Linked DNA regions of Caenorhabditis elegans. The protein of the gene in region 1 purifies or fractionates together with the protein of each later gene. This does not show direct contact. Each region holds a gene or a part of one and is shown on either strand. Other genes may lie near its edges. The genes, in order: unc-24, C09D4.2 and Y54F10BM.3.

Evidence for each region.
Region 2: the proteins of unc-24 (region 1) and C09D4.2 fractionate together in Caenorhabditis elegans (co-fractionation; one large-scale study listed by BioGRID). This does not show direct contact.
Region 3: the proteins of unc-24 (region 1) and Y54F10BM.3 fractionate together in Caenorhabditis elegans (co-fractionation; one large-scale study listed by BioGRID). This does not show direct contact.

Annotation. Positions count from the first base shown.
Region 1 is NC_003282.8:7,977,966-7,981,722, forward strand, and holds the start of unc-24 (Band 7 domain-containing protein), read left to right. Parts: upstream 1-1,904; 5' UTR 1,905-1,917; coding exon 1,918-2,141; intron 2,142-2,333; exon of another isoform or gene 2,334-2,341; coding exon 2,342-2,417; intron 2,418-2,805; coding exon 2,806-2,901; intron 2,902-2,956; coding exon 2,957-3,106; intron 3,107-3,152; coding exon 3,153-3,317; intron 3,318-3,362; coding exon 3,363-3,757. Other genes in the region: ora-1 (Onchocerca Related Antigen family), read left to right, coding at 1-27, 324-710, 767-925.
Region 2 is NC_003279.8:5,489,367-5,493,123, reverse strand, and holds the start of C09D4.2 (DUF4773 domain-containing protein), read right to left. Parts: upstream 1,701-3,757; 5' UTR 1,625-1,700; coding exon 1,357-1,624; intron 941-1,356; coding exon 836-940; intron 666-835; coding exon 561-665; intron 507-560; coding exon 417-506; intron 184-416; coding exon 101-183; intron 54-100; coding exon 1-53. Other genes in the region: C09D4.3 (Protein kinase domain-containing protein), read right to left, coding at 2,715-2,722, 2,771-2,927, 3,064-3,675, 3,754-3,757.
Region 3 is NC_003281.10:2,279,990-2,283,746, forward strand, and holds the start of Y54F10BM.3 (Tyrosine-protein phosphatase domain-containing protein), read left to right. Parts: upstream 1-2,035; 5' UTR 2,036-2,096; coding exon 2,097-2,169; intron 2,170-3,105; coding exon 3,106-3,157; intron 3,158-3,209; coding exon 3,210-3,284; intron 3,285-3,757. Other genes in the region: Y54F10BM.22 (Neuropeptide-Like Protein), read left to right, coding at 932-1,095, 1,597-1,732.

The DNA.
Region 1 (3,757 bases):
AAGCCTTGCTTCGGAAGATGTGGAGGTGTAAGTTTTTCTTCTTTTTTTTTAATTTCCAAAAATTCTGACAATTTAAAAAAGCTTTTATTTTAGGTTTAATTTTTTGGTTTAATTTAAGGTTTAATTTTTTAAATGCTACATACATTTTACCAAAATTCAAATATTCGAAATTGAAAAATCCAACCTAAATTTAAATTTCGTTTTATGCTCAAGAAATTTCATAGAAGTTTCTACTTTAATCAGCCGCTAAGTGCAAATTAATGAACTGTATTTCCTATTTTAATAGCCATATAAAACTCCGTCTCAAACTACAAACATTCCAGCGTCCACCACCACCATGCGGACTTCCACCATTCCTTGAGGATCTTCCTTCTGATGTTCAAACCAAGATAACTGAAATCTGGAAAGATTACAAAGAAGGAGACAAGTGTTATGAAGAACAAGGATTAACTCGTGAAATCATGGAATCTCTTCCAAAGGATGTTCGTAAGAGCATTCACAAGAGACCACCACTTCCATTCCTTCGTGGACTTCCAAAGGACATCCTTGCCAAGTTTGATGCTATTTTCAAGGATAAGTCAATCCCATTCAGTGAGAAGCCAGAGAAGATTGATGCTCTCGCTCAAGAAGTTCTTACTGGAGATAACTTGAAGAAATTCCAAGAATTCAAAGAGAAAAAGGAGAAGGAAATGCAAGAGTACAAAGACAAGGTAAGAATAAAAAAAAAGATTTTTACTCAAAAGGATGTTGAATATCATTCTTTCAGGAATCGAAGCTCTCCGCAGCTGCCAAGGTAGCCAACGAGAAGCTTGAAGCTCTCGGAAAACAAAAGTTTGCAATCCTCGAAGAACTTGATGAGAACGTGAAGGATGAGCTTTTCGATTTGTGGAAGAGCCGTCCTCATGGACCACCAAGACATCACTAGACGATAATTTGACAGCGATTTTTGTAAATATCTATGACAGAATTTTATTCATTCCCGATTTCCCGATCACTTTTAATTTATATTGAAAAATACATATATTTAAGATTGAATAATAAAGATTTCTATAAAAACTTTTGTGTACAAATAATAATTGGTTCCCAAATCTAAAGATGGAATAGTAAAGATATTATTAAAATATACGTAAATTGGGCGAAAAACATTCTGAATTTTTAAATTTTCAAATGTTTAAAACATGGTTTTGATAAATTTCCAAATTTTCCAAAGTGTTTGAATTTTTGAGCTAAAACTCAAGAATTGCTCCAAACTTAAACCTACAATGTGTAAATACAAATTTCAAAAAAGCTACTTTTTTTGGTCGACTTCCAAAACGTTGGCAGGTACAACTGAGTTTCTACCATATTCAGACTGTGAAATAATTTCAATTTTTGAAAAGTTTTACTATGATATTTGTTCATTTTAGCACGATAGGAGTGGTTTTAAAGTTTTCCCCACCGCGCGGTGCACCGCCAATACTTTACCTTGAGAATTTAATTAAAATGTAAAACTCGTAGAACATACTTGTTGACTTCCAAAACTATAATAGATTAAAACTGTGTGCATACACTTTTTCATGTAAATAAAACACTACCGCCTACCTTTAAAAAAATTTAAATTACAAAGTCTTCAATTTTGACTTCAACAATTTCCAACCTAACCCCTAAATTTTCTCATCGTATTCTTGGTTTGTAATGTGTGACAGACACCCTACCATTATCTGTGTATGAGTCTTTTGGGACACTCTTCTATCCAATGTCATCCGTCCTCTCAAATGCAAAAATAAATGCATTTGTGCTCACGGAGCCAAAGAATCGATGTGTGGTCCCGGACGCCAGAGACGCAGACATTCGAAACGACTAAAGCAGATGCTCAGTGTTAGAGCTCTTCGTCTCTTTCTCACACAACTACTTCATCTTTCTCTTGCTCCATTCAATATGACGTTCTCTTCTTCGTACAAATATTCGGCGCTGGCGCAAAACGATCCAGAGGCACCAGAAGAATTAGAAATGAACAGTCTTGAAGGATATTCTGCAGTCGATTTTGGTGATCCAAGTCAAAGTGTAATGGAATATGGAATGCCTGAAGGTTCATATGATTCCGTTTTTACATATGCTCCTTACAACGATCTCGATAAAATGGGATATATGGGTCCAGCAAGGTAATTTTTCAACAAAAAAACTAATTAACTTTGATATAGATGAAAAATTAAAATTTTCCAATGTTATCTTTCAGTTAAAATGGAATTAAAGTTTTATTAAATATTTTAAGAATTATAATTTAGCGATTAACTTAATTTTCATAAAAGTGTTTTACAACATGCATATGAACAATAAGAATCACTATTCAATAATTTTTCAGGCAAGGAATGATGCTGGGAAATAAATACGGAAACTTCACATACACAAGAGATTATGGTGTTAATATGGAAGACGATGTGAGTTTTTATTTAATAAATTAAATTTTGGTTTTCTTTATCAAAACTTAATGTGAAATTGAGCCATTTAGGAAATTATTTGATAGTAAAACTTTGAATTGGTTTTTTTGAAATATTTTTATTTTCAGTAAATAAAAAAGTTGAAATTACTCGGTTGTTGAAATTCGCCAAAAAATGTTCTACAATTACTATGATTTTTTTCCATCTGAGCATTGTAGGCATTTGAACAAGCAACAGTACTCTAAATTTCTTAAAAAGCATACATTTTTTGCAGATTTTGGCAAAATAGAAACCTTAACAAAAATGGAAATATCTAAACTAATTGAAACACACACGAGACAATTTAATTAAAATATACTTATGATATCTTAAACATGTTTTTTTTCAGATAAAACCCCTGAGCGCCATTGAACTGTTGATCTTCTGTGTTTCATTTTTGTTTGTTGTGATGACAATGCCCTTATCATTGCTTTTCGCGTTAAAGGTAGTAATTATAATTTTCTAGAGAACCGTTTCTCAAAATTTGCTTAATTTTTCAGTTCATCTCTACCAGTGAGAAATTGGTAGTTTTACGCCTGGGAAGAGCTCAGAAGACAAGAGGACCTGGTATAACTTTAGTTATTCCATGTATAGATACAACACATAAAGTAACAATGTCTATTACTGCGTTCAATGTCCCACCACTCCAGGTTAGCCTTGACAATATTTTGTCTAAAAAAAAATTTTAATTTACAGATAATAACCACAGATCGTGGTCTCGTGGAACTCGGGGCAACTGTTTTTCTAAAAATTAGAGATCCAATTGCAGCTGTTTGTGGAGTTCAAGATAGAAATGCATCAGTTCGAACATTGGCAAATACAATGCTATACAGATATATCAGCAAGAAACGGATCTGTGATGTAACCAGCTCACAAGATCGAAGAATAATTTCTGCTAATTTGAAGGATGAGCTGGGATCATTTACGTGTCAATTCGGAGTTGAAATCACTGACGTGGAAATTTCCGATGTGAAAATTGTGAAGGAAGGAGAGAACATGGGGATGTCTGCGTTGAGCAGCGTTGCGAAATCCGATGCTGGTCAACAGTTGTGGCAAGTTATTGGACCAGTATTCGAAGACTTTGCAAAGGAATGTGCAGCTGAAGAGAAAGCAAAAGAAAATGCACCATTAGTTGATTTGTCGGATGTTCCCTCAACTTCAGCTGCGGGAACTTCTACAGATACACCAAATATTCCTTCCATTGATATCGACCATCTTATATCTGTGGCAAGCCTAGCTATGGATGAACACTTAGTCCGTCTAATTGGCAGAGTTTTCCAAATTAATTGCAAAGATATTGA
Region 2 (3,757 bases), on another chromosome or scaffold:
ACTTCGAAATCCATGCATCCGGAAAGAATTTTCTCCTTCTTGTCCAAGTCCAACTGAATAAATAAAATTGGAATTTTCGTGTTACCAGAAACAATTTTACCTTTGTGAATGCCACACATACTCCTGCAATGTGCTCTGCGCCGGGAATCGGAAGAGAAAAACAGACTGGTGGGGGGTTTCTCACTGAAAATTATTAACAATTGTTTTTTTATGTGAAACAAAAGTTCTGTGAAATTTATATTTAAATAGCAAAAAATTAGCAGAGTTAGAAATTCGCGAGTTTGAAAGTTGGATTAGTAGTTTCAACTCGCTTTTTCTGAATTCCTTTTGTGGGATATCTGAATTTGAGAATTATTTAAACATATTCATATGGAACCCATTTGACCGCGTATTCCATCTTAAAGTTCTTTACATACAAGATATTTCTTCACTGAAATAATGTCCATCAACTCCAATCGACAAATCCAAGCCAATGGAAACTGGGTTATAGGTTGCATTGACACAAACTGAATTAAAAGTATTGGAAAATTAAGAAAACAAAATTTAAGGAAAACTATTACCTGAATGTCTGAATTCTGGAACAGAAATTTCTAGGCAGCAAGCACAATTTCCGTGTACACAAGCACATCCGTTCTCGTTTGATGAACCAGTTCTCAGAGACAGTTCTGGAAAGGTTTATTACAATTTTAATTAGCCTTTATGTATTTTTTTTTTCTCATTCCGAATTTCAGTTTTTTAAAGTTTTGTTTTGGCTTGCTGGCTTGAGGCTGCTTGAGCAATTGTCTTTGTTAACAACGTAAAACAGAATACAATTTTCAAAACCTTTTCAACAGACCTTTCCGAACAACTTGCTTCGAAGTGGATACTTTCATTTTGTATGAATCCGTGTGCACAGTCATATGAGTTGTATTTCTATTACCCAAGGAAACTATTATTTCATCTGAAAATTAAAATTTTTAGAAAACAAGAGGATTGCTGCTAGTCAGTAAGAGTTTGGCAAATTGCCAAATTTTCGATAAACTCGGTTTTTTTTTCGGAAATTTTGAACGTTCTTGCACTATTTTTCTTAACAAAAAATATTTCTTAACTTGATTAAAATATAAAAGTCGTAGAAAACATTTTGCCTATTTGGTAGAAGAATTTTTTTTTGATTTCAGAACTTTTTCAGATAAATTTTTTGGAACATTCGAATATTCCAAAATTATAACAGTTGAGAACTGAATCAATACCATTTTTAAATGTTATTAAAAATATCAAACCAGTTTCGCAAAGTTTTACTGTGAAAATTTATCATTTTAGAATCATAGGAGTCATACCATAGGGCGCTAATCCACTTTTAAATTTCAAAAAACTTACTCTGATTAGCTCCATCGTCTCCCAATTTAAAAATGATTTTGTCAATTTTTTCCGATAATCGGAGTCTTCCATTCAATTTCGATGAGTTTCCATTAAATTTCACATATTTCGAAACAATATCCCATTTTTTGTTGAGAATATCGATTGAATTAATATTTTTGTTGAAATCTTTCACAGAAAAATCCACAATATTTTGATTATTCTCAACTGCTGAGGTGGAAATTAACGGTAGGATAAGCAGAAGAAAAACAGAAAGAAAGAGGTGCATTTTGGAAAAGAAATGAAGATTTGGACGAATGAAAAGGGAGAAGGTCAGTTGACTCTGTTACACAACCAGATGTTCTCCCAATAAATAAATCAAAGATAACATCTGCGGATATGTTTTTTTTGACAACTGGCTAGAATGATGAGCTTGAATCGATGGTAAAGATTGATGCGGTAAACATAAATTACAATAATTTGTTTATTAATTTCCTTGAATAAATAGGTTTCCAATGCTGAAAGGTGGAGTACGACATGTTGTAAAATTATTAAGATCCACGCAATCGAAATATCCAGCAGTGCTTTAAAATCCTTGAAAAGTTTGGAAAAACTTAATTTTTGCCCCTGTTTTACTCGAAAAAAAATATCAGAAAAGAAACTTCGGTACAAATTCAATTTGTTCAGAAGAGTACAGTGCCAATCTGCTATGAGATATCCATTCATTCTGGGATTTCCAGACATTTTCAAACTTGTTAACCAAAAAATCAGTATAATAATTGGATTAAGCATATCAAATTACATCTATAACTATAATTTCATTTTAAAATTTCAATAATTGAGAAAATAAGAAAAAAGTTGGAAAAGTGACATGCTATATTCTTGCCTTCAAGGCCGGATTCCTCTACCACAATTTTAAAGAATATTAATTCAGATTGAAAGTTGGAAAACTTGGTTCACGCTTCACTCAAGTGTAATCAAAGTTTGATCCAACTTTCCGTCAACATATCACTTCTAGAAGATTCCAGGAGACTATGTTTTGCCAAAGTTTGGCTCAGGTTTAACCACTTCTAATCCAAGTTAATATTCAATTTGCCAAACTTGGGAAAGAAACTAACGCCGTGATAGTTGGAACTTACAATAAGATGTAAAATACTTTTAAAAAAATACATTTATTTACACAGCACAAAAATCTAGTAGTATAGTTGAAACCAAACGACGACGATGATGATAATGAATACAAAAAGAGGCAATCGGTTCTTTACTTTGGATTGGAAAAGAGTGAGAGAAAGAGGAAATTGAACTGGAAAGTGCTCGATTCGATTCGAGATTTGATGAGAAGAGTAGTGATGAAGAACAGTTGTGAGACGAGTATATGCCTATTGGTCTGAAAAATGTATATTTTGATATAGAAAATAAAAACAATAAAACATACTCTCACAGGCACGATCAGTGTAGTTAGTAGCTCCTTGTTCAGCCATAATTGCCATATCAGACATGACAGAAGCTGTTTCGGTGAGCTCCGAATGTTGAGATTCTTCCACTTGCCAGTCCCACTTGCAACGATCAGGAATCATATTTTCCATACGAATCTGGAAAAGTAAAGAACATATTATTGTTTAATTGTAAGGAATATGGAACGTTAGGTACTATCTAATTTATTAGAAAGGTGATTAGTAAAGTGCTTGGATCTAACTAAAAATATCCATCTAGACTAATTTTAGTTACCTCATTAATCAATGCCTTCAAATGTCTGTACTCTGGTCTGATTTCGAATGAGTATCCATCGATCATATCCATGATCGTCTCAAACTGTCTTGGAGTTCGATTGAAGAACAAACGACGAGATTCATTTCGAATTGAGAGCTTCGATTGTCCAACAAGTGTACGATCAGACATATGACGCCATGGCAACTCTCCAACCAACATCTCAATGAGCATGTAGAACCAGCATTCAACATCATCACGTCTTCCAAGATCCATACGTTTGTGTGCTTGGAGACTTCCATATCTTACAGTACCTCTCCATCCAACCTCTCCACGAGACTTCAGCTTCTTGTTATCACGATCAATAAACTTCTTCGCAAGTCCAAAGTCAAACATGAAAATTGTCTTATGCTGTCCATTGTCGCGTTGTCCTGGAGCAAAGTTGCTTGGCTTGACATCACGGCTCAGGTATCCAATATTGTGAAGCTCTTCAATAGCTTCAATAGTTTCAAGAGCAATCTTTGTAGTCGTATTGAGAGTGAATGAACGAGTCGGTTGTTCGGCACGAAGACGGTAGAGATCTTTTCCAAGAATACTGATTATCATGTAGTTGTATTCACGACGGATGGTTCCCTAAAGTTTGATACGTTTTTTTGATTTTGTAATCCAAAATCCAAAATCCATGAATTCATAGTCTATGATATAACTTACATAA
Region 3 (3,757 bases), on another chromosome or scaffold:
AAACTTTATAACTTTGTCAATTTTCAAGATTTTTGACTCAAATTTATTTTTATTAAAGCTCTAAATATTTTTCTATGAAATCTGACAATAAAATTTAAAACAATTTATAAAACTACAGTACCACAACACTTTTCGTGGCGGGATCCAAAAATTTAACAAAAATTTTTTTTTGATTTTTTTTCAAAACTCCATAACTTTGTCAATTTTTAAGATTTTGAGCTCAAATTTATTTTGAATAGCGCTCTAAATGATTTTCTTTAAAATCTAGTACAGTAATTCATAGCAACTCATAAAACTACAGTACCAAAAGACTTTTTAAGGCGGGACCCAAAAAATTTTGAAAAAATTTTTTTTTCAATTTTTTCAAAACTCCATAACTTTGCCAATTTTCAAGATTCTGAGCCTAGATTAGTTTTAAATAGTACCCTCAATATTTTTCCATAAAATATAACATAGGAATTTACAAGAACCCGTAAAACTACAGTACCCCATAACTTTCCGTGTAGAGACCCAAAAAATTTTTGTTTTTTTTTTTGAAAAATTGGAAAAAAATTTTCAAAATTTTTTTTTTCAAACTTAAATTAATTTTACTGATTTTGTTGAAGTTTTTCGCTATATTAAAATTGATTTTAAAAAATCTGCACCCATTGCTTAGGTGCAAAATGTATCCCTCTACCCCTTTTCAGGTACACTAAGAATTCAGCGAATTCAGATTTGCCAAACATCAAAACAATGGAATTTTTCATTGTTTCTCACGTGTAGCAACTGATAAAAACTGATAAAAGATATCAAAATTGATCCTATGACGTCATCATGTCTTATGACGAATTCCACCCCCCGCTGACTGTGAGAAAAGTATTTAAAAACTTGATTTTTCAAGTTTTTCCCTAAAAACTTTTTACACTTTCTCTATGTAAAAGTTCAAAAAAACATGCGAAAAACTACAGTAACCTTATTATTTTTGATATTTTTTATTCAAATTTCTGAAATTCTGACTCTACCTATCAATTATGGTGCATCGTTGAACTCTGTACACTCGGATGACCTGAGTGCTGAGGATTATCAAGTTTTGAGGAAAAATGAGACAAAAATTGAGTAAGTTCATTGATTTTTTGCTAATAGAAAGGTTTTTGAAATTTTGGAAAAATTAAAAAAAAAATTTTTTTGAAAAAAACTTGTTTAAAAATAATAATTCCGCCAAATTATCGATTTTTTTGGTCGAAATCTCAAGTTTTAAATGTTTTCTTTAATTTTATTGAATTCAGCGTCATTGATTACCCCTATCCCAAAATTTTGGGCCTTCTAGCTCAATTTTCAAGAATTGGCTGAGTAGCGACCCATTGCGATACGGAGTTTGGTCAGTTTTAGTGCAAATGGCTAAAAATTTAGGATTCTGGGTTTCCAAGTATGGCAAATTTAATGATAATGTTAGTTTTTCAAAACTATGACTCCGTATCGCAGTTCTGAGTCGCTACTCAGCCAAATTTCAAAATTTTGAGATTTTGAGCTAGAGCTCTGAAAACCTATAGATAAGGGTAATCAATCACGCTGAATCCAAAAATAACTTCTAAAACCAAAAATTTTAATTTTTTCCAGAAGAATCCACAGAATTCAGCAATTTTTCAAAGCGGAGCACCACGAATCCACGTGGCGAGACTCGATTTGCAGTGCATTCCACTCGTTTTCACTGTTCCCGCCAAACTGCTTTGCGGCTCCGCCAAACGACAAATAAATCGATATTATTGATTTATGAAATGACATGATTTTTTTCTACGACGCACAATAAATTTTTGTGATTTTCTGATTTTTTTTGATTTTTTTTTGGGTCTCGTCACGAAAAGTTGTGGGGTACTGTAGTTTTTACCGGAATTTCTAAAATTTTTATTTTATCTTTTACGTGGGTAGTTTTCGCACATTTTAAGCCAAAAATGAACAAAATATCTCAAAAACTAAAAAAGTTACAAAATTTTTAAAAAATTGAATAAAAACGTAAAAACTCAAAAATTGCCAAAAAACATTCCACGTCGGGAACCACGTCGTTTGATTTTCGAAAGTCGATAAATCGATATTGAAAAATTTATTTCACAATATTCAAGATGAAATTGTGGTCGATTTTATTGGTGACCATATCGATTTTTGGCATCTGCCACGTGGAACCATATGAGCTAAGTAAGTACGGGGGTTTGACGCCAAGATACGGTTCGATTCTACAAAATTATCGGATTTTTCGGGAAATTATCGATTTTCTTGAGAAATTATCGATTTTCTGGCGGAAATATCGATTTTCTTGCTAAATTATCGATTTTCTTGCGAAATTATCGATTTTTTCGCGAAATTATCGATTTTTTCGGGAAATATTGATTTTCGGGAAATTATCGATTTTCTGGCGAAATTACCGATTTTTCGCGAAATATTGATTTTTTCGCGAAATATTGATTTTCGGGAAATTATCGATTTTTTCGCGAAATTATCGATTTTTCGCGGAATTATTGATTTTCTGGCGAAATTATCGATTTTCTTGCGAAAATATCGATTTTCTTGCGAAATTATCGATTTTTGGCGAAATTATTGATTTTCTTGCCAAATTATCGATTTTTCGCGAAATTATTGATTTTCTTGCGAAATTATCGATTTTCTCACGTGTCGAAAAGTTGCCCTTATTTTTTATTTCTGTCAAGAATGCAATTTCAGGATTTAATATAGGAAGAGGCAGATTTTCTTGCGAAATTATCGATTTTTTCGCGAAATTATCGATTTTTTTCCCGAAATTATTGATTTTCCAGGAAATTATCGATTTTTAAAAAATTATCGATTTTTAAAAAATTATCGATTTTTAAAAAATTATCGATTTTTAAAAAATTATCGATTTTTTGCGTAATTACTGATTTTCGATAAATTATCGATTTTTTCGCGAAATTATCGATTTTTGATATTTTCGATGAACACGTGGAGTTTGTTATTTATTTCTTTTTGAAAATGACGTGGAGAGGACGGTAAAAAAAAGCCACGTGGCCATTGCGATTGCGAAATTATCGATTTTTGATAATTTATCGATTATTCGCGAAATTATCGATTTTTCAACAAAAATTTATTGATTTTTTCCAGGTTTCGTCGATTGGCCTACACCCGCCCCGCCGACCTCAACAACTCCACCAGTGTAAGTCTATCCGTTGTCCCGTTAGTTTATCCCGATGACCGCTCTTTTTCAGATCCTCAACCAAACCACCACCTGCTGAACAGTTTAATTCGCTGACCGACATTCTCGACCTAATTCCAATCGAAGTGTAAGTTGTGAAAATTTGACATCGATAATTGCTCGGCGGCGAAAAATTGGTTTTTTTTTTTCGAAAAATCGATAATCTATGTTGATTTTATTGATTTTTTTGGTCGGATTTTTGAAGAAAAATCAATAATTTTTATTGATTTTTTGTTCAAAAAATCGATAACTTGCGTCATTTCTTTTATCGAAAATCAGTAATTTCGCAAAAAAATCGATAATTTCGCAAGAAAATCAATAATTTCGCAAGAAAATCGATAATTTCGCGAAAAAATCGATAATTTCGCAAGAAAATCGATAATTTCGCAAGAAAATCGATAATTTCGCAAGAAAATCGATAATTTTGCAAGAAAATCGATAATTTTGCAAGAAAATCGATAATTTCGCGAAAAAAATCGATAATTTCGCGAAATTATCGATTTTCTTGCGAAAAAATCAATAATTTCACGAAAAAGTCGATAATTTCGCGAAAAAAATCGA